Sus scrofa: one gene and its partners. The protein of the gene in region 7 interacts with the protein of the main gene of each other region in a pairwise test. Links are inferred from orthologs where the notes say so. Each region holds a gene or a part of one and is shown on either strand. Other genes may lie near its edges.

What was found.
Region 1: the proteins of MAGED1 (region 7) and CA8 interact in binary tests that used the Homo sapiens proteins (3 or more experiments, as listed by UniProt). The two-hybrid records come from large-scale screens. The link is inferred for Sus scrofa from reciprocal best matches to the Homo sapiens genes MAGED1 and CA8.
Region 2: the proteins of MAGED1 (region 7) and KPNA2 interact in binary tests that used the Homo sapiens proteins (3 or more experiments, as listed by UniProt). The two-hybrid records come from large-scale screens. The link is inferred for Sus scrofa from reciprocal best matches to the Homo sapiens genes MAGED1 and KPNA2.
Region 3: the proteins of MAGED1 (region 7) and RBFOX2 interact in binary tests that used the Homo sapiens proteins (3 or more experiments, as listed by UniProt). The two-hybrid records come from large-scale screens. The link is inferred for Sus scrofa from reciprocal best matches to the Homo sapiens genes MAGED1 and RBFOX2.
Region 4: the proteins of MAGED1 (region 7) and BHLHE40 interact in binary tests that used the Homo sapiens proteins (3 or more experiments, as listed by UniProt). The two-hybrid records come from large-scale screens. The link is inferred for Sus scrofa from reciprocal best matches to the Homo sapiens genes MAGED1 and BHLHE40.
Region 5: the proteins of MAGED1 (region 7) and TTC23 interact in binary tests that used the Homo sapiens proteins (3 or more experiments, as listed by UniProt). The two-hybrid records come from large-scale screens. The link is inferred for Sus scrofa from reciprocal best matches to the Homo sapiens genes MAGED1 and TTC23.
Region 6: the proteins of MAGED1 (region 7) and TFG interact in binary tests that used the Homo sapiens proteins (3 or more experiments, as listed by UniProt). The two-hybrid records come from large-scale screens. The link is inferred for Sus scrofa from reciprocal best matches to the Homo sapiens genes MAGED1 and TFG.

The regions. Positions count from the first base shown.
Region 1 is NC_010446.5:73,110,367-73,113,866, forward strand, and holds part of CA8 (carbonic anhydrase-related protein), read left to right. Parts: intron 1-555; coding exon 556-604; intron 605-2,192; coding exon 2,193-2,305; intron 2,306-3,500. UniProt on the Homo sapiens protein: Does not have a carbonic anhydrase catalytic activity.
Region 2 is NC_010454.4:14,289,592-14,293,091, forward strand, and holds part of KPNA2 (importin subunit alpha-1), read left to right. Parts: intron 1-369; coding exon 370-458; intron 459-1,529; coding exon 1,530-1,798; intron 1,799-2,035; coding exon 2,036-2,130; intron 2,131-2,228; coding exon 2,229-2,492; intron 2,493-2,675; coding exon 2,676-2,909; intron 2,910-3,129; coding exon 3,130-3,312; intron 3,313-3,500.
Region 3 is NC_010447.5:11,807,716-11,811,949, reverse strand, and holds the start of RBFOX2 (RNA binding protein, fox-1 homolog (C. elegans) 2), read right to left. Parts: upstream 2,801-4,234; 5' UTR 2,562-2,800; coding exon 2,535-2,561; intron 1-2,534. UniProt on the Homo sapiens protein: RNA-binding protein that regulates alternative splicing events by binding to 5'-UGCAUGU-3' elements. Prevents binding of U2AF2 to the 3'-splice site.
Region 4 is NC_010455.5:61,531,012-61,533,585, forward strand, and holds the end of BHLHE40 (class E basic helix-loop-helix protein 40), read left to right. Parts: intron 1-315; coding exon 316-1,172; 3' UTR 1,173-2,074; downstream 2,075-2,574. UniProt on the Homo sapiens protein: Transcriptional repressor involved in the regulation of the circadian rhythm by negatively regulating the activity of the clock genes and clock-controlled genes.
Region 5 is NC_010443.5:137,994,402-137,998,422, forward strand, and holds the start of TTC23 (tetratricopeptide repeat protein 23), read right to left. Parts: upstream 2,801-4,021; 5' UTR 2,572-2,800; exon of another isoform or gene 2,355-2,571; intron 1-2,354. UniProt on the Homo sapiens protein: Participates positively in the ciliary Hedgehog (Hh) signaling.
Region 6 is NC_010455.5:158,302,903-158,306,402, reverse strand, and holds part of TFG (protein TFG), read left to right. Parts: intron 1-359; coding exon 360-527; intron 528-3,500. UniProt on the Homo sapiens protein: Plays a role in the normal dynamic function of the endoplasmic reticulum (ER) and its associated microtubules. Required for secretory cargo traffic from the endoplasmic reticulum to the Golgi apparatus.
Region 7 is NC_010461.5:45,321,335-45,325,338, forward strand, and holds the start of MAGED1 (melanoma-associated antigen D1), read left to right. Parts: upstream 1-1,204; 5' UTR 1,205-1,336; intron 1,337-1,875; 5' UTR 1,876-1,904; coding exon 1,905-1,949; intron 1,950-2,650; coding exon 2,651-3,376; intron 3,377-4,004. UniProt on the Homo sapiens protein: Involved in the apoptotic response after nerve growth factor (NGF) binding in neuronal cells. Inhibits cell cycle progression, and facilitates NGFR-mediated apoptosis. May act as a regulator of the function of DLX family members.

The DNA of each region.
Region 1 (3,500 bases), on a different chromosome or scaffold from region 7:
TCTCGTTCTGATAAATGTGTATGGAAATTCGACCTTTTCATTTGACTGGCAGTTCTTCCCTGGAGCAGGAGAGCATCTAGGATGGATTTTAGAGCTGAGTTACCACATCCAAATGGGGCACAATGAGAACTCGGAGGCAGCTTGTCATACAAGCAGGTTGGGAACAGAGATCACAGAACCAGGAGGAAAGTCATCTCAAAAGACTTCCTGAACGAGGGCCGGCGTCTCTGGTCTGGAGGTGCCAGGAGCAGGAAAGGTAGCTGACTTGGGACAGACAAACACTGGACAGTTTGCAGTTTCACACTGGGGATTCTAGGGAAAATTGAGAGGTGGTCATAAAGACAGTGCTACAGACTGAGAGCAGGAGTATCTTACTGGAACCAGCGGCCCCTGTTGCTCCAGTGAGACGACACATGGACACATTCTCAAATCTATGGGGTCTGCTGGTGCCAGTCAGGAAAGACTGCAACCTGGATTTTTAGTGCTAATGACTTTTTTTGTTCTAAAACTTAGAGATTTTATGTTAATGTGGGGGTACATTGTTTTCTTTTTCAGGGGAAGTCCAAAACAATACCCTGCTTTAATCCTAACACTTTATTACCAGGTAAGCGTTCATCTGGCTGCGTAAGATGAATTTGAACTGTGAAGATGACTGCTTTGTTACCCTCAGGATATATACAGCTATATCTTATTAGCTAATAAAGTGTCTCTACTATTGATATTCTCTGTATCTGGCACCAATTTCAGATTTCTCTAAACCTGGCAGTAAACCTTTTGATATAATAAATACTTTGCCACTAGCTCCATTGTGTTGTGTTTGTATTTTCAAAAGTGTTTCCTTTGTATTTTCATTTGTGCAAGTGATGACCTCTGTGTAAAGCACGAGTATAATAACTTAACCTTGTTGTGCATCTAAGATTGGCCAGCGAAGTTCTTACTAATCTCTGGCATGAAATAAACTTTATATCTAATTTTAAAAGATAACCTCTTTGCAGTCATGCTCTTTAGCTCTTATTCTAAATACTTAGGTATGTCCGAACAGGTAAGAGGTATGTACAAAATACTCAGAGTATACTTTTTAGATAGAGGTTGTTTTGGATAAAATTATGATCTTCACACTTCTCTGCTTAAATTATGTGAAAATTGTTAGGGTTCCAAACGAAACCGAATGCATTATATCTTCTCCTTTTTACATTTAATTGCTCTACAATGAACCAGTTTTTGCCATATGTTGAATATTTGCCCATCATGTTTAATCACAAATTCCTCTCACGGAGAGCTAAAAGGTTTCATAAGAATGATTTCTTTTATTCTATTATAATATGATTTTAATGTTTCTCTGTTGAGGAAGAATATAGAGGTAGTTAGACCAGAATGGTTATACACGTAGATTCTTTTTTTTTTTTGTCTCTTGTTTTTATTTAAAAAATTAGACATAGGATTTAGCATTCTTAAAAGACCCAAAGGCTCTAATTATCACACCCAGGAAGAATTCACACAATCTCTTACTTTAAATTCCAGAAGTTACAGATTATTGAGTTGTTGTTCTTGTTGCATTTTACAGGGATATTTATTTTAACTCAACTTTTTCAAAGGTCATTTAAATACACAGACTCTGAAACCAGACTGCTTTGGTTAGCCCAGAGGTCTTGGGCATATAACATAATCCTCTGTGAGTCAGTTTCCCCATCAGAGAAATGGGGCTAATAAAAGGACCGATCTCACTAATTAATGTAAAATGTTTAGAAGAGCATTTCACATGTAGTAAACATTCAGTAAATATTAGGTACAATCAGTCAGGTAAATCCTCCAATAAGGTAAAAAACCCCCCAAACTGTGGATATACTTCTCCTCAAGTGAGCAAACTTGATATATAAAATATACATCAAGTGTGTATATATATCACATAGTATATCAAGTTTATGTATATTCCGTTTGTATAGTCATAGTTAAGCGTGTATATAATTAATTGATAGAAATCACTGTAAATAATAGAAAGAGCATTCACCATGTTTTCTACTGATTATTTTCTCCTTATGATCAGTTTAAAAATACATATGCGAGGTTCTAGTTTAAAAATGGCATCAGCCTGTTATTTGGACAGTTTGTAATTTTGAGAATGGTTGGAATCTTCAAAATTTTTTTCAATTACCTTGCCTTCCCATGACATACCCTGTGGTTGGTTTGCACAGATCCTCTGCTGCGGGATTACTGGGTTTACGAAGGCTCCCTCACTATCCCGCCTTGCAGTGAAGGTGTGACCTGGATATTATTCCGATACCCTTTGACGATATCCCAGCTACAGGTGAGTGCAGTGCGTTCTTCCAGAAGGAAGGTCAAATGTCGTTTCTGGGAAGGGGCAGCATCTGCTTATGCTCAGGCTCCCTTTGGGTCAGTTAGAGCAGTCACACCTTTTCAGATGAAAGTCCAGTGCCTTGAACCAGTGAAAGCAATTTGAAAGGTCAAGGATGAACAAAACCCAGTAAATAGCCAATAATACCCAATCTGTGGTGTTAGAAGTCAGTTTTTATAGAGTAAATAGAAGTCACTGAAACAGTCAGACTTCTGATTCGTCTAGTTTTTCCTTTATATGGATTTTCCCAGGCATTGGAGAGGAGAAATGGAGGTAAAGTGAGAATGCCAGTTATTTCTGCAAGCCACACTCGAGCTTTGTAATAGTTCTTCCTTGGCTTACACAGGAAGGTTCTGTATGCAGAGGGTGAGGGAGAACTTCTGGAATGCCCTGGAAAGTTCTGGATTTGCCTTACATGTGGGCCTGTAGCCAGCCGGAAGGGGTGTGAAAGAACTCAAGGGGGATTTTTTTTTCTTTTCTCTTATGGTTTATTACTAGATATTGAACATAGTTCCTTGTGCTATGCAGTAGGACCTTGTTTATCCTTCTATATATAATAGTTTGTATCTGCTAGTTCCAAACTTCCAGTCCAATGCTCTCGTGCCCTCCCCACTCCAAAAAAAAAGGTCCCACAAGTCTATTCTCTATGTCTGTGAGTCTGCAGGTGGTGTACAATCTTAGATGACTAAGCATTCCCAAAGCACTGAGTTTTAATGTACAATATGTTTTATGATGCTGGAGATACATTTCCTGGCCTTTAAATGTCATTGACTCTGTTAATACACAGTATTTACTGGATATAATAACAATCTATGTCGTAGTCCTATTTTTTTTTTTTTTTAATCCTTGACGTGGGCTAATGTTAACATGTGATATTACTCCTTTGAGACTGAGCTGGTAATTTATTATTTCATGCATTGATTCATTTGGTGATTACTTGACATTTAGTATGTATAAGATACCATAGTAGGCATTGATGGTGGAGAACAAATAAGACGTACCCCTGACCTCCTAGAATTCACCGTGGGGGGGGGAAGGCAATAGGTTCACATTTAAAACCCAATAATTTCATGAGGACAGTGCCTTGGTATGGCATGCGCAGCCTGGGATCACATAGGAAAGGCACCTGGATGAGATTCAGCCATTT
Region 2 (3,500 bases), on a different chromosome or scaffold from region 7:
GTTTGCTGGGGGTACTCTCATTACTTGAGACTTCATTGAATCATGACACCAAGTTTGACAACTGTTCTACATATTAAATAATGAACATTTAATTAGGCAGATTTAAATGTAGGATTCAGAAGTTCCCCTGTGGTGCAGCAGCTTGAGGATCCAGCATTGCTGCAGCTATGAGGCAGGTGGCAACTGCAGTGTGGGTTCAGTCCCTGGCCCAGGAACTTCCACATGTGGGTATGGCCAAAGAAAAAAAAATGTAGGCTAAACTTTTCATAGCTGTTAGAACAGTTTACACATTGCTGGTAGGGATTTTACTGTTTGTAGTTAATCTTAAAAAAATGATAGTTTGCAAAATTAATTCCACTGTTCTCTTAGGGCACCGTAAATTGGTCTGTCGATGACATTGTCAAAGGCATAAATAGCAACAATTTGGAAAGCCAGCTCCAGGCTACTCAAGCTGCTAGGTAAGCCTTGTCTCTATAGCATGGATAGCCTTTTTAGATTTTTAGATTTTTTTTTTTTTTTTTTTTTTTGGTGGGAAAGAGGTGGTTTGGGTAAAGTCAAAGTTAAGCCATGCATAGGCCTGTTTTCATTAGAATCTTCCCTTGAGAGAATTTAAAGATTTCAGTAATTGCCAAAGACTCCATGCACCTCCACTGATAATGATTATTAGCTTTTTGGTGTATATTTAAGAAAATTACAAAGTTTTTATCAACATGGCATTTTAAGTCAGTGTCAGGGAAGAAGGAATTATTCAGTAAGTGGGATTGGTCCACCCATTTAGGAAATAAGTATATTTTTAGACTCTTATCTCTGTAGACAAATAGTTTTGACATCCATTTTAGCAAGGATTAATAATCTCTGGCTTGACAGTGTGCAGAAAAGCAAATCTAGTTGACAGATGATCATGGAAAAATGTTAAATGAGAGTGTAATGCTATCAGATTGTTAGTTTTTTTTGGATTTTTTTTGTTTTTTGTTTTTGGTCTTTTTAGGGCCACACCTGTGGCATATGGAGGTTCCCAGGCTAGGGGTCTAATCAGGGCTTGTAGCCACCGGCCTACACCAGAGCCACAGAAACACTGGATCTGAGCTGCATCTGCGACCTACACCACAGCTCACGGCAACGCTGGATCCTTAACCTACTGAGCGAGGCCAGGGATTGAACCTGAAACCTCATGATTCCTAGTCGGATTCGTTTCCACTATGCCACAACAGGAACTCCCAGATTGTCAATTTTTTAAAAGTGACAAGACCTAAAGTAGATTTCTGCAGGGATGCATCGAGAAGGGTTCTACATTATTGGTAGTATTTCAGTATGGGGGAAAAAGGTAATTTAAGACATCACATATAATAGCACCATGCAACCAGTCTGTTGAGGTCCTCTTAAATTTTAGGATATCTCAGCACTTAGTGCTTTACTGTAAAAGGTTGTCTAATGCTCTGAACTCCTGAGTTACATTTTAAATTGTTTTTCACTCAAACCTATTTTGTTAATTACCTTCATCTTTTGTTTCTCCTTTTATTTACCCTTAGGAAACTGCTTTCTAGGGAAAAACAGCCTCCCATAGACAACATAATCCGGGCTGGTTTGATTCCAAAATTTGTGTCCTTCCTGGGCAGAATGGATTGTAGTCCCATTCAGTTTGAGTCTGCTTGGGCCCTCACTAACATTGCCTCTGGAACATCAGAACAGACCAAGGCTGTTGTAGATGGAGGTGCTATCCCAGCATTCATTTCTCTGTTGGCATCTCCCCATGCTCACATCAGTGAACAAGCTGTGTGGGCTCTCGGAAACATCGCAGGTACTTGGATTTCAAGTTCTTTTGACTGAATGTCTCTAATACTGAGGTTGGTTGAAGTGCCTTTGAGTTAGGGATTGAACTTGCTTCCAGTGCTTATAAGAGGTAAAAGTGTCATTTATTTATTTTAGGAACTATCTGAGTGTTTCCTTGTATCAAGACACTGGTACTCAGTCAGTGAAATTGATGGTGCTAGACAAGTAGTTATGATTAACCTTGCCTTTTTAAATTTTTTTTAAGGGGATGGTTCCGTTTTCCGAGACTTGGTTATCAAGTACGGTGCGGTTGACCCGCTGTTGGCTCTTCTCGCGGTTCCTGATATGTCATCATTAGCAGTAAGTTACTTAACCATAAGTCAAGTTACTTGTTGATTCTGATTTTGCCCACCCCCTCAAAAAATGGAGAACTTCATTGCATTTTTCTTTTCCCCCAGTGTGGTTACTTACGTAATCTTACCTGGACACTTTCAAACCTTTGTCGCAACAAGAATCCTGCACCCCCCTTAGATGCTGTTGAGCAAATTCTTCCTACTTTAGTTCGTCTCCTACATCACGATGATCCAGAAGTTTTAGCAGATACCTGCTGGGCTATTTCCTACCTTACCGATGGTCCAAATGAACGGATTGAAATGGTTGTGAAGACAGGGGTCGTACCCCAACTTGTGAAGCTTTTAGGAGCCACTGAACTGCCGATTGTGGTAAGTTAATTTTCAAATGAGAAATAAAGTATGAAGAGCATAATCAGTCAGTACTAATATTGACATACTACCTATTTTAGGCCACAATGAGCCTCTTGTCCAGACTTTTAGGGTGTAGCGACTTCGAGCAGTGGTAGAAACGATGAAGGATAACCAGCAACATCAGCATTTTTCCCTTTCCAGACTCCTGCACTAAGAGCAATAGGAAACATTGTCACTGGCACAGATGAACAGACGCAGGTTGTCATAGATGCAGGAGCACTCGCCGTCTTTCCCAGCCTGCTAACAAACTCCAAAACAAATATTCAGAAGGAGGCTACGTGGACAATGTCAAATATTACAGCTGGTCGCCAGGACCAGATACAGCAAGTTGTAAATCATGGATTGGTCCCATTCCTTGTTGGCGTTCTCTCGAAGGTAAGAAGCCTTAGGCCTTCATAAAGGATTGCTTCCAGAGGCCACTTGGTAGAACTGTACTTCATAAGGTTCTTAATGTACTAATGTTAGGTCCTACTTATAGTCTTTTGCTAAATAATAGTCAGATGGTAGTTTTAGTCACTATTTTTCTAAAAGAGTACTTTTGGAATCTTATTTTTATGCCCATTCTGAAATACACCTGTTTTCTTGTGTTTATTAGGCAGACTTTAAGACACAAAAGGAAGCTGTATGGGCTGTGACCAATTACACAAGTGGTGGAACAGTTGAACAGATCGTGTACCTTGTCCACTGTGGCATAATAGAACCATTGATGAACCTCTTAACTGCAAAAGATACCAAAATTATCCTGGTTATTCTGGATGCCATTTCTAATATCTTTCAGGTAAGTTGCCTTTTTTTTTTTTTTGGCCACACCCTTGGCATGCAGAAATTCACAGGTCAGGGATCAAAGCTTAGCCTCAAAAGTGATGACACTAGAGGTTTGGTGGGTTTTTTTTGTTTTTTGGTCTTTTTTTAGGGCCGCACCGGTGGCATATGGAGGTTCTTAGGCTAGGGGTCGAATTGGAGCTG
Region 3 (4,234 bases), on a different chromosome or scaffold from region 7:
AAACCCAGCCTCATAAAACCAGAGCCTACATAGTAAAGCCTGCACAGTGTGCACCTAACTGTGTGACAAGAACGTCATCTGCTGAAGGTCCTTCACCTTCTGGCACCGAGTAAGCGATGGATAGTACAGGACAGAGAGAGGTGTTAAAGAAAGGAACCCGGTGACAAAAGAGTGAAAAGATAGCTAAATACTTTTCCTAATATACTAGTTAAGACACTAAAGACCCCAATAGACTGTTTAATTTTGATAACTGAACCCTAAACACTGCAGATAATTTCTATTCAGAAAGCTTATGTGACATATCATTACCAAATCGTGGGATTTGAGGTCTGGCTCAGAAAAACAAAAACCAAAGAAACCCCTTTAGGCCTAGTACACTTTCCCTTTCAACAACAAATAGGATAACCCCTCCTCAGAAAAAAATCCATAGCAAAACTGACAACACTATGACTTGAACCCAGCCAGAACTCAGACTGGGACTTGAACCCACGTGCCTATCACCTGGACAAATAAAAATCTGGCCTATGGGTTATTTCCTTTGATTTTTCCCCCTCTAGATTACTATCAACTATGTATGTTACATTAACATAGAAAGTGTATACAAAAAACAAACATGCTGGCATAGTGAAAATTCACAAATTGATGTTCTATACTTTGTATAAATTCAGCATAGGCAAAAATGAGTTACTTCTTCAGCCTTCACACGCACTGAGAAAATCATGATTTTAATCTACTAGAATTCTTAACCACCAAAAAAAAAAAAAAGAAATCCCTCTTCCCAGTTCCTACTTATCTCTTCTGCTTCGTTCCTAAAATTATAGTTTCCTTCAATACTGATTATTAAGCGCACAATACTAGGTGTGCAAATGCTTGTGCACCCTAACTTGGGCTTGTACACACTTGCTCTTCTAGAACTCAGGGGAAATGCTCCAACAGGCCATGGAAAGCCTCTGATTCTAAAAAGTCCTAGCTTAGATAACTCTTTCACTGATTTAAAAACATCTATAATGGAAAGTTAAGTAGTTGAAAAGGCTTTGGTAGTAGCTGAGAAAGAGCGCTTGTACCCTCTAATATGGCAGTTAAGGAAAGCTGGATGTGGGCTCCCGGGTTAAGAAGTATTGTCTCCCAAGCAACAAAGACAAGCCAGAAACACGTTTTCTCTTTTTTAAAAGGCAGAGCAATGTTTTGATTAACGAGTTAATCAGGCTAACGATGAAGGGATAAGAAAGTGGAAGAGCAACTGCTAAAACAAAAAAAACTGACTTTGGAAAGATATTATTCTTTGAAACTTCCCTTTCCTCTAGGTCACATTGGGAAAATCTCCCTAACGCCTTACCTCCTTCCAAACAGCACTGCGGGGCATTATATAACATTTAACTGGACAGGGTTCCAGCTCCTAAAATGATGCTCTACCCAGATAGCCAGCTGACTCTCTCGCCCTCCGGTGGTGACTTAAGAAACGAGACAAGAGAATATTAAAAAAAAAAAAAAAAAAAAAAAAAAAAAAAAAAAGGCAACCTCCTTAAAAGGAAAACCACTGTCCAGTGATGAAATTTCCCTACAGAGCATAAAAGCCTGGAGTGAAACTGATCCTAAGTCTGAGCTTAAATGACATGAATGTGCCACAATGCAAATAATCCTCATTGATAAATCAGTCTCTCAACCCACATATAAAGAAAAAAGCATAAAGGGACATACAGAAGGTTGCCAAGAAGAAAAAGAGCACTGCCGGGGGAAATCAGGGAAGAATATTCACCTTTCCATCTGTCAGGAATGACTTGCTAAAATGCAGCTATTGCCTGGCATAGCCAAAGACAGGCAGAGACAGACAGAGAGAGAGCGCGCTTTCATTTCCTACTCCCTCTCCTTCAGATGTCTTTTAATGCCCGTGGACTGTCATTTATACATTCAGACTTGTTCTTCTGCCAGGGAGGGCTCTGCTGCACCTGGATGCTACGGCTCTCACTGAAAACATCCTCTGCCAGTAACAAAGACACGAAAATGAAACATTTTTCCAGCCTTCATTTTTAATAAGCCATTTAAAGCAAAGGGAGCAGAACTACAATTCCACAGCCAATCCCGAGAACCCGAAGTGAATCCGGAATGAGATTTCCCTCTAACGCAAATTCTTCTGCAATTCTTAAAAGGAAGTGAGCTCCCTTGCCCTCTTTTTGGCAGTCTACAAGAATCTCTCCCTACCTCTGTGGTCCCTCCCTCCCTCCCTCTCCTCAGAACCAAGACAAAGAGGTAGACCAATCCCCACAGGGTCTTAACTGAGCTCCAGCTGCACAGCACAGGAAACAGGAATCTGCTACGGAGCTGGGGAGGGGGGGAGAAAAAAGGATACGGACACAACACACACACACACACGACTCACGACAGGCACAGACGAACACTTTTCAGCTGCTAGCAATAATTCTGTCCCTTTCTAAAAGGTTAATAAATTAAAACTCTGGTGACTATGCCCCACCCCCATATCTTTATTTAGATCTCAGAAACAAGAAAAGAAACACAGGAGGAAACACAAATCTTACCTGAGTTACCATTTTCTTCTTCTCCATAAACCGAATGGCACAGAAGATGAACACTTCAGAGCAGTCGTGCTGGGGCACACCTTCCACGGCTCTCCTTCCTCCCCCCTCCCCCCCCAGCCTAGCTCTTTAAGGGTGGGCGGTTGCTCTCCCTCTATCCCGTTTTCCTTCCTTTTTCTTTCTAGTGTTTCTTCCTTTCTTTTCTCTTCCTCTCTGGCAGTCTCTCCCCCTCCTCCTTTCTCCAGCTCCCTCCCATATCTCAGGCAGATGGCTGAAGGAAGCCCCACCCCTGAATGCCGAAGGTAATTAATCAGAGTAGAGCCCCACCTCTTCCTCCTCCCCCCGCCCCCTCCCCGCAGGCTGACATCTCCCAACTCCAGAAACAGGCCTGCTGGAGAATGGCAGTTTGGTGTGTGCTTTGCGCGTGCGTGCGTGGTGTGTGTGTGTGTGTGTGTGTGTGTGTGTGAGTGAGAGAGAGAGAGAGAGAGAGAGGGAGGAGAGAGGGAGGAGGAGGGAAGGAGGGGGAGAGAGGGAAGGGCAGGCGCCATGTGCAGGCATATTTTAAGGAGTGAGTATCTGCGATGGTGGCATTAATTATATACACAGGAAGTATTCACGGCAGCTTACCACAGTTAATACAGATTTAAAATATTCCATCTAAGAATATCTGATAATAAATAAATGAAAGAGAAATTATTTTTAAAAAAACATTTCCACTGATGTACAGTCTACAGATGCAGTGGATTTAATAAAAGATGAGAAAAGCTGCTCCGTGACTGGAAGGTTTTCAAGGAATGGAAATATGCAAGAACCTGCTTGTCCTAAACCAGTCTAATGGCTGCAAAGGACTGAAAAAGAAGGGAGGTAATTTAAGAGCTTATTTTTTCTACTGTAAAAAAAAATCAGGGGGATCTGAAAAAGGTGATTGCTTAAGAAACTTAAGGTGGATACAAATTGGACTGCTCAAGGCTTCCAGCTTTATTAAAAACTGTAGTTAACTCAGAATGTGCCCTTTGTGTTCCCCAGCCTTCTGCATCTCAGCTGCTACTGAAAAACATAAACCCTTTCTTACAGACACTGACATATATACCATGACATTTGTGCCATTACTGTAACTACTGACCGTTACTCTAGAGTGCTTATTAGATGCAGAAGGTTTGGGAGAATGTTCACTGAATATAAGAGTTTCTTCTAAGTTCTCTTAGTAAAAAGTCGTAATGAAAAAAAGCATCAAAGGTATGATTCAGTCCAAAAGTCCTGGTCAAAGTCCTAATTCTCCCCTTTATAAGTGATCTTGGAAAAGTCTTTAACCTCTGAATATAAGCATCATAATCTCCCTATTTTCTGTTATTAAATATTCAAACAAAGTAACCTATGGGAATGTTTGATGAGTTTATGATGTTCTTCTCAAACATAAAGATGCTCTCATTTTTTTTTAGTATTCTAAGAAATAAAATCCTGAAGGTTTTATTACATTTCTTAGTTATGCTATATTTATTATGTTATAATCCCTAGTAGAGTACCCAAAGAGCAAAGAAATTAATTCTAGATTAAGATGCCTATTTAAAAAGTAAACACATAAAAAAATCAAAATTAAAAATCACAAATCACACTGAGAAGACATCATTTTTTTGCTGTCTCAATGAGGACTGTTTGGCTTTTAGTGTGTGGTATAATAATGTTGGTTGGCCCAGTGCCAATAT
Region 4 (2,574 bases), on a different chromosome or scaffold from region 7:
AAAGCAAGCACAACCTATAAATTCAACAATAGGGGAAATAGTCTGTTTCTATTAATTATGGTCTGTTTCTATGATGGAATATTATATATCCATTACAAAATATATGTTATCTCTGAGTGGTAGGATTATAGATGATTTTTATTTTATCTTTTCAGTGTAACCCAGATTTCTCTGATCATATTACTTTTAGAGTTAGGAACATAAAGCAGTAAATGCTATTAACAAAAATGGAAGCTCCTAGTCTTTGTCATATAGGTATGCAGGTAAACCACAGGGCCTTCTGAAATGTTTTCCTTTGGATCTGTGTTGATCCAGGTGATCTGTCGGGGAGAAATGTCGAAGCAGGTCAAGAGATGTTCTGCTCAGGTTTCCAGACCTGTGCCCGGGAGGTGCTTCAGTACTTGGCCAAGCATGAGAATACTCGGGACCTGAAATCTTCGCAGCTGGTTACCCACCTCCACCGCGTGGTCTCCGAGCTCCTGCAAGGTGGTACCTCCAGGAAGCCAGCAGACCCAGCTCCCAAAGTGATGGACTTCAAGGAGAAACCCAGCTCCCTGGCCAAAGGCTCTGAAGGCCCAGGCAAAAACTGTGTGCCAGTCATCCAGCGGACTTTCCCTCACTCAAGTGGTGAGCAGAGTGGCAGTGACACAGACACAGACAGTGGGTACGGAGGAGAATCAGAGAAGAGCGAGCTGCGGGTCGAGCAGCCATACTTCAAAAGTGATCATGGACGCAGGTTCACCATGGGAGAAAGGATCAGTGCTATTAAGCAAGAATCCGAAGAACCCCCCACGAAAAAGAGCAGGATGCAACTCTCAGATGATGAAGGCCATTTCACTAGCAGTGACCTGATCAGCTCCCCATTCCTGGGTCCACACCCACACCAGCCTCCTTTTTGCCTGCCCTTTTATCTGATCCCACCATCAGCAACTGCCTACTTGCCTATGCTGGAGAAGTGCTGGTATCCCACTTCCGTCCCAGTGTTATACCCAGGCCTCAACGCCTCTGCTGCAGCCCTCACCAGCTTCATGAACCCAGACAAGATCACAGCCCCCTTGCTCATGCCCCAGAGACTCCCTTCTCCCTTGCCACCCCACCCGGCCATCGACTCTTCTGCCCTGCTCCAAGCTCTGAAGCAGATCCCCCCTTTAAACTTAGAAACCAAAGACTAAACTATTTAGGGGGTACTGCTGTTGTGCTTTCCTTCCACCCTACTTCCCCCCCAAAAAACCCCATAAAAACAGTGTCTGTGAGTACAGCAAGACTGTTCCAGTGTGTATGCCAGGTTTATCAGTGTCAGGAAGAAAAGATTCAGGAGTGTGTGTGTGTGCGCGTGCATATGCACACACTCGTGTGCACATGCATCATGTGTTGGTATGGGACATTAGAGCTCTTTTTGGCATCGGGAGGATGTGAAGGAGTACCTGACATTCTGACATCAGGTGATTTGGGGGGATGGTAGTACGTCTCTGGGCTTTTCCCCACCCAGAGACTATCCCCCTCTGCTACAAATCAGCTGGAGTTTCAAAAGCTTCAAAGTCTTGGTCTGTGAGTCAGTCTTTACTTTGGGAGCCAGGTCTGTGGCTTTGAGAAAAAGGTACTTTCAAAAGAGGGCTTTCCAGAGTGCGGTTCTCAGCCAGCTCTTCTGACCCCACCCTTCTCCCTTTCATTGTCACCGTGACTCACCATATGGGGAGAGGGCAGCCAGACTGAACTTTCTGCAAAGTGGTGAAGTAGCAGACACTGGCATAGCATGGTAGCGGTTTGGGGAGATTTCCACAGGACTGCTCCCCACCCCTGCCTGGATGAATAAAGAGAATGTAGTTCCCTACTCAGGCTTTCATAGCGATTAGCTTCCTAAGGAACTGAAAAAGGCCCCCTGGTACAAGCCCAACTGCCAGGGAAGGAGGGAGAAGCCACCCTGGGCCTCAGGCATCTGTTTTTAGTCTTACTGAGAAAACGGTCTTGCTGTCCAGGGAATCAAAGCAGGGTTAGAGAGATGCAAGCGCCTAAGTTCCCAGAACCCCAAAGTGCATAAAAAGCTGAGTAATAAATTACTGTTTCCACAAGCGAAGCTAGACTCGGTTGTCAGCTCTACCCTCAAGCTCCTTTTAACCAGGCTTAGCTTCCTTAAGGACTAACCAACCCTTGGCATAGCAAGATCCTTTCTGCAGGCTAATTCCCCTTACCCGACGGCATATGGAGTGTCCTTATTGCTAAAAAGGATTCTGTCTCCTTCAAAGAAATTTTATTTTTGGTCCAGAGTACTTTTCTGACTTGTCCAGCTAGCCCTGCACCAGCTTTTTGAAATGCACTATGCTTGATCGCTGACCGTGTTTTAACTTTTTATTTTCCTGTTTTTATTTTGGTATAAAGTTGTTGCCTTTATTTGTAAAACTGTTATAAATATATATATATTATATAAATATATTGAAAAGGAAAGTGTTTCAGATGTTTATTTGTATAATTACTTGATCTACAAAAGTGAGGGAAAATGAATGTATTCCTGTTTTTGAAGAGAAGAATAATTTTTTTTTTCTGAGGGAGAGGTACAGTGTTTATATTTTGAAGCCT
Region 5 (4,021 bases), on a different chromosome or scaffold from region 7:
TACACCAACAGGAGTCATGGTAGACTAGCAGAGACTGAAAAATCGTGGGCAGGCTTTTCACCACCACTGCCGGTAAATGACACACCTCCCTTCTGCTAACATTTCACTCGCTCTCTAACCACAAAGAGGGGGATATTCAGGGGAGTGAATGAAATATTTGATGAGCATTGCAATCTGCCACATTTATCATTAAGGGGCCTGTCTTAGGATTCTTTTACAAGGGCTAGAGACAACCTCCTTCTCCATCTATTTGATTAAGGACCACTGATCAGGAATTTAGGAACTTCAGATTCTTTCAAGCAAGTTTTGAGGTAGGAGGCAAATACCCTGCTTGGTATCCCTGAAGCACTTTGCTTTTTGGGGAGGAGATGACCCCTGATTAACCTTTGTTTGCTCAACACTGAAGCTACCTTCTGATACATGGTAGAAGCTCACTGAGTGGCCAGTTGTGTCTCAAAGACACAGGTCAGGTGAAAGCCTACAGTCTGAGTAAGAACACCTCCCATCTTCCCATGGTGTTCTTCAGTCACAAGTTTTTGGTTTTTGGTTGAAATTCCTCCAATTTCATTAAACAGAACCAAGAAACACTACAAATTCTGAGGGAACAGGAGCAAGAACCAATGCAATGTGAACAATCACTTTTATTGCTTTACTGCACCATGACGAACGCCACATATAATAAAAATTGTATCTGTAGTGCTATACAAAAACAATAAGCTCACTGCTTCAGAAGAATAGAAAGAAATGCATCAAGATTTATCCTATTCAGTCATGTGAAAGTATATGGAAAAAAAGTCTCAAGAGACTGCTACCAATTTGCGCTCCATCATTTATAGTATTTAGTCCCTTAGCTTCCAGTCTCTGTTGCTGGAATCATCTTAAGCTGCAATGTCAGATCTTTTTTTCTTTTTATGTTTTTGGCTATGCTCATGGCATGTGGAAATTCTCAGGCCAGGGATGAAACCTGCACCACAGCAGCAACCTTAACCACAACAACCCTTAAGCCACTGAGCCAGCAGAGAACCCTGCAATGTCAGTTTTATCATTCTCAAATATGACCTTTAAAACCCAGGACCCGGAGTTCCTGTTGCAGCTCAGCAGAAACGAATCTGAATAGCATCCATGAGGACGCAGGTTGGATCCCTTGCCCTGCTCAGTGGGTTAAGGATTCAGCATTGCTGTGAGCTGTGGTATAGGTTGCAGATGTGGCTCAGATCCTGTGTTGCTGTGGTTGTGGTGTAAGGTCAGCAGCTACAGCTCTGATTTGACCCCTACCCTGGGAACCTCCATATGCTGTGGGTATGGCCCTAAAAAGACAAAAAACAAAACAAAAACAAAAACAAAAACAAAAAACAATGACCCAGGACTTGACTCCTTAATTCTTGCAATTTTGACTCTTCATGTAACTTCTTAACCTTTTTTTTTTTTTTTTTAAATCTAAAGTCCCCAAATGAACATTCTGCTGTGTCAGGGATAATTATTCTTTAGCTGGACATATTTGCTAACAAATCCCCCACTACCTGGGATGCCATTTCTTTCCTCTTCCATCTATTGAAATTTTGCCCATTGCTCAAGCTCCAAATGGGTCTTAACCCTACTTTGAAACTCTCCCTGAATATTTCTGCTCACACTGATCTGAGCACCTGAAGCAGCTATGGTCTGTAACAGCCATCTATGCATCAAGAACTATACAAAAGTTTTCATTTAAATCTTTTTTGAGTCTCTTTCTAGAGTATGAGCTCCTTAAGAATATATTTTATTTAATAGCCCCATATATAGATTAACAGAGGACCCTTAAGAAATATTTACTGCATACCTGAGTTGGGCCTTATAAAGGTAAAGATGTGCCACCAGGTATTATATTTACTAGCTGAATCTTGAAGAATCTTCAAGATGTTATATTTTGGAATTACATATTGGCTGGATTCTTTAAAAAGTTGCTATTTCAAATATATATTTTAATATACATTATTCTCATTTATCAATATTTTCCTGAACATTTATATTTTAGCTTTAGTAAAAATATCATTTTTGAAAATATAAATGCTAGATTTCACTTTTGAGAATTTATCCTTACATCCACTACCTATTGATTCTGTTTCATATACCAATATTATATTTTCCTTGGTCATTAGCCGATCTGACCCTGCTACAAATGTAAACAAAACCCAATTCCAAAGATGATAATTTTGTCATATCCTTTAACAGATGGATTGTCTATTATGCTAGGTTTTAAACAAAAATATCCATTTTGCTTGATAATTACAATAACATTAAGACATTAAATCCATATTAAAGCAACAACAAAATACAGCTTCTTGGAGTATAAAATAATCTATAATTAACCGTATTACCTTGGTCCTTTTATCATTCAAAAATCCACTGCTAATCCCAGGATAACATTTTCTCTAAAGAGAAAAATAGCCTCTGAAAATCTTTCTCCCTGCCACTCTGACATTATGGCTGTATTTTATCTGCTTTTCCTTTGACAGTCTCCTTTAAAACTAGCAAAAAAAAAAAAAAAAAAATCAGAATAGTTTATTTAACTCTGTAGAATCCTTTGTCAGTTACCCTGTGTGCCTTGAGAGGTTGTCCGTTTCTTTTTCCATTGAATTACACTGTTGACTCGGCAGCCTGATTTTCCAGATTGGTCCACGCTGTATCGGTTTGGTGATTTTTTGTAAGGATTGATAACTATGAAAGAGTCTAAAAATAGGGCAGTTCCAGACTAAATTGGAACAGTCTTTTCCCGTAAAGCAATCTGGTATCTCACAAAATTCCAAGAAGAATGAATGACAGAGCACGCACCAATAGGAAGTGGAGAAAAGTATTTTGTCTAAGTTTACTACCCAATCCTTGGGAGCCAGAGGTGGGAATTTTAAAATAGGGTTGTCCTTTCCTTGGAATTTTCTTAAAGTGGTATCCCCTCCTGTTGAAGTCTGCCAAAGATTGCCAAATCACTAATTCTAAATTAGAGAATTTTTCCTCCGTTTTGAGTTAGGCAAAGTGTAAACTTGGCACTTGACAAATTTAGAGAATTTTAAGAGAATCACATGGCTACTTTTGTGTCTATTTCAAAGGGCAGAAGTTATTTCAAGATAATTCATTTTTTCATGATCAAATATAAGTTAATGTACTTAAATATTTCATTTTTAGAGAAAGGCAAACTAAGAGGCTAACACTGCTTTTAAAAAATTGGTCTAGCTATAGTTAATCTTTTTTGTCTGTATGACTCTTCAATATTAGGAGCAAATCATATTATTTGGGTTGATCTTAAACATCCTAAAGATTTTTGTTTTTACACAAACTGTAGGTTTTCTCATTTTAAGTCTAGTAAAAAGTTCAAGTACAAGTTCTTAAGTATTTACAAATCTGTATAAAAGGTCTTAGAAGTACATGACATACACCATGCATATACTTTAGAAAACTCTGAAGACTAGTTTACTAAATAGATAATTGCTAGTATTGCATTATAACTCATACCTTTTTTGGGATAGGTGTTATTTTTATTTAATATAACTGCTTTTCAGGCTACTTAATCTCTAACGGAAATTATATAAACCAACGTAAATCTATAAAGTCAAAGCTGTTTGACAATGAACCGCTAGATAATCAACGTTAGGCTTTCCAAAGAGGTTACCCTCTTTTCAATAGTACGTGTGTCATAGGACAGCTTTGAGAGTTAAGTGAAATAATCTAGCGCAGCTCTTAGAACGCTGCCTGGTACACAGTAAACGACTGGGTGTTAAAGTTGCTGTAATGCACAGAATTACATTAGAGGACTAGTGAGTCAGTGACAGTACGAATGAAAGAAGAGATCAGTTACTGGCGGTTCCCGAGGTTGGAGCCGGCCAAATCACCCCCACAAAACCCTAAGCCAAAAGCCAAATGCGAGAGCAACCCCTAACACCGGAGCCGGAAGCAAAGGCCGAGTGGGGCGCGGGGCAGGCTTGGAGAAGGCCCTTTTTTCAGCGAATAGGCATGTCTCTTGGAAAACGGGCATCTTATCCCACCTATTGCA
Region 6 (3,500 bases), on a different chromosome or scaffold from region 7:
TGCACAGTATGTGTCTGCTACTAGGGTATGGGTTATAGGGCTCCAAAAAAGGGTAAAATGTTTCTGTTTGTAAAGGAGCTTGTATTTTTTTTCCCCCTTATCTGACAGTTCTTAGGGAAGGACATAGGTATAATTTTTGAAAAGGCTATTATTTATCCTGAATTTCTTACTGGCCTTTTTTCCTGATTTTACAAACAAAAATATAAACAAGTACAAAGAAATGAAATTATAATCCTGTATTCAGAGATACTCTCAACCTTCCAGACTATATGCACATAAGTGTTTTCCTGTTCTGTATATTTTAGGCCTTATTAAGTATAGATAAAATGGAAACAAGTTTTTGCTTATTCCTTTTATAGATACTGTGGATGGTAGGGAAGAAAAGCCTGCTGCTTCTGATTCTTCTGGAAAACAGTCTACTCAGGTGATGGCAGCAAGTATGTCAGCTTTTGATCCTTTAAAAAACCAAGATGAAATCAATAAAAATGTCATGTCAGCATTTGGCCTAACAGATGATCAGGTTTCAGGTAAGTTAGTGCCTTCCTCCATCCTTTATTTCCTTTCTCCGTCTTTCCCTCCCATTCCTTCTTTCCTTCTTAAATAGAAGATAACTTGGATATGGTGAAGTGCTTAGATCTTAAAGGCAGTTGTATAAATGTTTTACATATGTATACACCTATAAAAAACACCAACTTGATCAAGATGTAGGTGGTTTCCAGCACCTTGGAAAGCTTTCTCATGCTCTCTCCCAGTCAGTAGAACCCTCCTCCTCTTTAGAGAATAACCTTTGTACACAGTTTAGGTACATTGTATTAAAAGTAGAATTCAGGGGGTATGTTATTTTAAAAATCTGAGTCATTTTATAGTCTTCAGATTTATTGCCAGATTTAAGTTATATTTGATGTTTTATTCTCTTCTGATCTTAAATTAGGAAAATTTATTTTATTTTATTTTGTCGTTTGTCTTTTTAGTGCTGCACCCATGGCATATGGACGTTCCCAGGCCAGGGGTCAAATTGGAGATGTAGCCACCGGCCTACACCACAGCCACAGCAACATGGGATCCGAACCGTGTCTGTGGCCTATACCACAGCCACGGCAATGCTGGATCCTTAACCCACTGAGCGAGGCCAGGGATTGAACCCGTGTCCTCATGGATGCTAGTCGGGTTCGTTAACCACTGAACCACGACGGGAACTCCCAAATTAGGGAAATTTAAAAGTAGATTTCTGATTAGATTGTTTTAGTGTAGAAAGTCCTTTTATGTGAATGTTTTTAACCTTAAAACAGCATCTATACTGTGCTTTCTTTTTATATTTTGGCCAGCATTTTTACTGCCTTCTTCTTTGGGGATTTCAGTTACACATACATTGGGGAGCTTAGTATTGTCCCATGGGTTTCTGAGATTCATTTTTCTTCATTCTTTGTTCTTCAGATCGGATGATTCCTATTGATCTCCCTCAAGGTCACTGATTTTTTCCTTCCATTTCCAATCTGCTGTTGAACCTTTCTAGTGAATTTTTCATCTCAATTATTGTTCTTTTAGCTTTAGAATTTCCATATGGTTCTTTTATAATTTTATTTTTCTCCTTTGATTCCTTATCTTTTCATTCATTAAGATTGTATTTCCCTTTAATTCATTGAAGATATTTTTGTTTAATTCTCTATAAAAAATATTTATAAAGCTGCTTTGAAACATTTGCTGCGTCCAGCATCTGGGCCTATTTGAAGTCACTTTCTTTTGCTTGCCTTTTCCCTTGAGTATGGGTCACATTCTTATTTGTTTGCATGTCTGATGGTTTTTTGTTTGTTTTTTGGAGTTTGTTTTTTGGCCAAGCCTGAGACACCTGGAAGTTCCAAGGCCAGGGATTGAACTTATACCACAGCAGCCACCCAGGCCACTGCATTGACAATGCTGGATCCTTAACCCACTACACCACAGGGGAACTCCTAATAGTTTTTGACTGTAAACTGGATATTGTGGTTGTTGTTGTAGTGACTTGGAATTCTTCAGCATAATGCTCTCTCCACTGAGCTATTTCATCAAAGACTTGGGATTCTTTTAGGTTCTTGTGAGGATTTTTTGTTACTGTTGCTCTAGTAGGGAGTTGACTTACATTTACTCAGACTACTTCTTTTTCCCCAGGGGATTATAGAAGCTGATAGCTCTGCTCAGTCCTTTCAGTTCTAGGTGCTGCCTTTTCTTCTATGCCCTCGAGGGTGTCACTCTCTCCCCGCCTAACTGCACGGTCACTTGGGAACTTGGGGCTGAGCTTATACTCAAATTTTAGGTCTCATTCCTTCAGTGACTTCCCTACCAAAGGATTTTTCCCCTTCAAATTCCTATCTGCTTGCTCTGTGGCTTTCTGCTATTGGAGCTGCAGAGGTTGGGGTTTGCAATTTTTAGCCATTATAAGTCCAGTGGGGGTAAACTCTTTTCTGGTGTCTTCTGACATTTTGTTAACCTCCAGTAATCAAATAGCTGTTTTATTGTATTTTATCCAGGTTTTTAAGTTGTTACTTGTGGGAGGTTTTACCTGAGCAGTTTGTCATTGTCAGTAACTGGAAAAATAGGATTTTGTCTATTAATTTTCTTTCTTTTTGAGACTTTTATGGGATTATTTATTAAAGAGAATTGTGTGAAACTCTGAGTTAAGACAGATAATTGTATATGACGTATGTTCGTGGTGGAGTAAGATACCAAGATAAGACAGTCCTGGAGTTCCTGTTGTGGCTCAGTGGTTGACAAATCCAACTAGGAACCATGAGGTTGTGGGTTCAATCCCTGGTCTCCCTCAATGGGTTAAGGATCCGACATTGCTGTGAGCTGTGGTGTAGGTTGCAGACTTTGCTTGGATCCTGCGTTGCTGTGGCTGTGGTGTAGCCGATTAGACCCCTAGCCTGGGAATTTCATATGCCGCAGGTGCAGCCCTAGAAAAGACAAAAAAAAAACAAAAAAAAAAAGATAAGACAGTCCATCTGAAAAACACACATTTAGAACAATTGAAATAAGTTAATATTATAGCTTCTTAATATTTAAGACTTCAAGATATGGCAGATAGAAGAGTAAATAAAATAGTTATATATAAGGTCAGGCTTAAAAGTTTTCATTAGAATATGGTATAGACTAGAATAATATGATTCACATTATATTTGAAGACTTTTTCTGGTAGCTTTGTATGTTGAACTGAAGTAAGGAAGACTGTACACATAGAAAATGCCAGGATACTTTGTAGTCACTTAGGTTATGATGTGGTGAAAAACTTGGCTGCAGTAGTGAATGTGGACATGGGAAGGAGGAGGGATGGAGTATTATGACAGAATGAGCAACATTAACTAATAGCTTACATACAAGACAGAAAAGAGGAATCAAAGTAATATATATATTTTTATGATAATACCATAGTGTTTTTGTATTATCTTTGTTGTCCTTCTTAGGAGGGATGTGTCTGTATGTATTTATTTGTCTACATGTTGATAAATATCAGTATAATGGTGGTA
Region 7 (4,004 bases):
TCAGGGGTAGGGCGTTTGTGCCTCTCACAATGAAGGGGCCTGACGGCCGGAGCAGGGAGTGGACCCCAATGAGCAATTCCCATATCTGGATGGACCCACAGAGCAGGAGGGCGGGGAGTGGGAGGGGGCGGGGCGGAGGAAGAGCTGGGACCTCTATCTGTTTCCTCCTAAATTGAGAGCATGAGCTTAAGTCTCAGGGAACACTAACCTTGTCTGTTTGGGACAGATGTTGACAGGGCAGGAGGTGGGATAGATCTGTTGCTTAAACTGATAAAAGGAGGGTGCTTCAGTCCCTGGGCCAGCGCCGGTGGATCGTGGGTTTTAGGGTCTGGAAGACCCAGGACAGGACCACATTTTGCTTTCTCTGTTTACTGGCTTTGTGGCTTTGTCTAGTTCATGCAATATGTTTGTACCTCAGCGTCTTTATCTGTAAAATGGAGATGCTGACATCCACCTCCCAGGGCTGCTGTAAGAAGAAAACAAGCCCCAGCATAGATCGTGCTGTGAAGTACAAACTGTGCCCTTCCCTCCCCTCCTCCCCACCTCCCCACCTTCCCACCTCCACACACAAAATAAATAGCTGGAGCTGCACAAAGGGCAGGAAAGAAGCTAATGTTTATGAGTCTGGGATCTGTTGAGGAGGGGGGTGGAAATCATGGAGTCACGTGGCAGGCACAGACTCTACCTCTAATAATGTATCCTCTGGCCGTTCCTTTTCCTGGGTCCCTAAGTGGATGTGCTTATTTTTAGCCCGAGCCAAACACTTGTAGCAGTTAGAGCCCCCCTACAGAGACCTCCTTAATAGTGACCTAAGTGCTGCTAGACTAGGGGGTGGAGATGCATGCCGACCTGACAGGAGGGGCCGTGCGAGGGGAGGGATAGAACAGAGACGCATTGCGGAAAAGGTAGGGGGCCAGTGTGTGGGGCAAGGGGTGGGATCTAGAGGCACTGCGAATCTGTTTGGGGGAGGGGATATAGAGAAAGGGGAGGGATCGCTGTATACTGTCGACCTGGTTGGTGGTGGGGTGGTGTGTTGGCAAAGGGGCGGGATTGCCTCCCACTGCACATGCGCACCTTAGTCTTCAGGACGAAGCTTTTGTTGGGAAAGCAGGCGGGACTCTTATTTGGTCGGTCAGTTCTTGCGCATGCGTACAACCATCTGAGGCGGTGGGTGGTATATTAGGCGAAGAGGCGGGGTCGTCCTAGCTGCCGCGCTGGCATTTTCTCCTGGACAAGGAGAGGGTGCGGCTGCTGAGAGCCGAGCACTGCAATCCCGATCCTCTGAGTCGTGAAGAAGGGAGGCAACGAGGGGGTTGGGGTTGGGGCCTGAGGCAAGGTGAGAATTAGCCCCCAGACAGGGCATCTGCCCCCTGGTGCGGGCCCCCCATTTTTCATCCCAATCCCTTTACCCCGGATTCTGATCCTTCTTCCACTCCCCGAACCCTAATTCACACCCCTCACCCGATCCTCCCTTATTCAGAATCCCTGTTTGCTCTCTGAGCCCCTCCCATCGTTCAGAATTTACAGATTTCTCGACCTCAATCTGTACTGTTATATGATTCCTCCTGATTCGGAAACTCCATTCAGTTTCCCATATGCGAATCCCAGTGCTATCCGCCTGGATTCAGAACTCTTAAATCGGTTTTCCAAACCCCGATTTGAAGCTTCTCCCCGTCGTAGCTTCTAGGGATTCAGAACATCCATCCGGACACCCATTCACTTTTCCCACTCCGATCTGGCCCGTTCCCCTCACATTCAGCACCTCATCCGCCCCCACAATCAAACCTCAAACACCACCGTCTCCCCACATTCATTCCTTCCCATTTACCCTCTGTAGTGTAACGCCTAACTCCTCCCCCACACCCCCCTCCCCAGGCTCTGCTCTTGCCAGAGGGACAAGAACCATGGCTCAGAAAATGGACTGTGGTGCGGGCCTCCTCGGCTTCCAGGTGAGATCTCCACTCCCCACCCCACCATTTCCCCAGCCGACAGTTTCCCCCTTCCCGGGCCCCTTTGGCTATCCAAACGCCTGGATCAGATTGTGCCTTCTTGGTGCCTGGATTCCTTCATTTTTCAAATTCCCATGGTTTATGGGGGAGGGGGCGTCCCTTTCAGCCATCAGTCCCTGCTCAGAGAAAGGGGAGACCCTGTTAGTAGTCAGGGCAATCTGCCCAGAGAATGCGGGTTGGGTAAGGAACCATTTTTTTCCATAGTCCTGATGCTTGTAGAGCTCTTTGCCGCCCCCTCCCCCAGCCTCCTCCACCCTCCCTTCCTCCTGCATTCCCCACCCCTTGCGACCCCCTTATTCTCCTCAACTCCTCCAGGCGGCACTCTTGCTCCACCTCCTCCTGCTCCTGAGCTCCTACCTCACACTGCAATGTTCTGCTCTAACCTCACTCCCAGATCAGCACCTGCCTTCCACTTTGCCCCCCTCACCTCATCGCCGCCCGCCCCATGTTTAACCTCTGCCCCACTCAGCCCCTCTCACACGTTCTGTTATCACTTCATTCCTCTCAGGCCTCTAGATCTCTGCCTCAGCCTTCCTCTCTTTGCACCAGCCGCCCCCCCTGCACCTCCTCTGAGCTACTCCCCCGCTCCCAACCCCACTTTGTGAGGCCCAGAGATTTATTTTTTCCCCTTGTATTTGCAGGCTGAGGCCTCTGTAGAAGACAGCACCTTGCTTATGCAGACCCTGATGGAGGCCATCCAGATCTCGGAGGCTCCACCTACCAACCAGGCCACAGCAGCTGCCAGTGGGCCAAATGCTAGTCCTCAGAGTTCACAGCCCCCATCTGCCAATGAGGTGGCTGATATTCAGGCTTTAGCAGCTGCCACTAAGCCTAAGACAGCCTTTAAGGCCCAGAATGCCACCACAAAAGGCCCAAATGCTGCCTATGATTTCTCTCAGGCTCTTAATGCCAAGGAGATTCCCAGCACACCACCTACGGTAGCCTTTAAGGCCCCAAATGCCCCCTCAAAGGGCCCAAATGCTGCCTATGATTTTTCCCAGGCAGCAACCACCAGTGAGTTAACTGCCAAACCTGAGATGGCCTTTAAGGCCCAGAATGCCACTACGAAGGTGGGCCCAAATGCCACTTACAATTTCTCTCCATCTCTCAATGCCAATGAGATGGTCAACACTCAGCCTAAGACAGCCTTCAAGGCTTGGAATGATACCACTAAAGCCCCAACAGCTGAAACCCAGACCCAGAATATTAACCAGGCCAAGATGGCCACTTCCCAGGCTGACATAGAGGCTGACCCAGGACCAGGTATCTGTGAATCTGATGGTGCAGCTGCACAGACATCAGCAGATGGCTCCCAGGCTCAGAATCTGGAATCCAGGACTATAATTCGGGGCAAGAGGACCCGAAAGGTGAGATCCCTGCTAGTTCCACTTTGCTTTGGGCCTCTCCTTTCTTCTGTGAGGTTGTTCATTTGTTCTAAAACAAAACAATATATAGCTGCCTGTATTCAGCTAGGTTGTAGGGGATGATAAGATGTATGTGATAATTCCTGTCCTCTGAGTGTCCACGGACTAATGGGGAGATGAGACATGGACATGTAATATATCCAGTCTGCATGTAATTCCTTGTGTATTTTGATAGTAGCCATCATGTGTTAGGTCTTGGCCTAGGCACATTCACACAGGTTATCTCACGCACTAAATCTTCAAGATGCTTCATACCGGCTGGGGTCATAGTTTCAGTTTTACAGGGAAGGAAACTAGTTTCCAGAGAGGTGAAGTGACTTGAGTGATTTGTCCAGGGTGGTACAAGCAGAGCCAGTGGTGAACATAGGAAGAGGAGAAGCTTCAGGCCCCACCCTTGGGTTGCTCCTGGCCTGGTTCAGAGATGAAACTCCTGCCTGGAAGACAGTGAAAGACAAGCCCAGGACTCAGGGTGACCATTGGCTAGTGGGTCAGGCTGTCACTACAGGTGAGGGTTTTAGGGGGCCTTCCTGGAATAGATAGGGCAAGGACATAGAAACAGTTGGTGACTCTG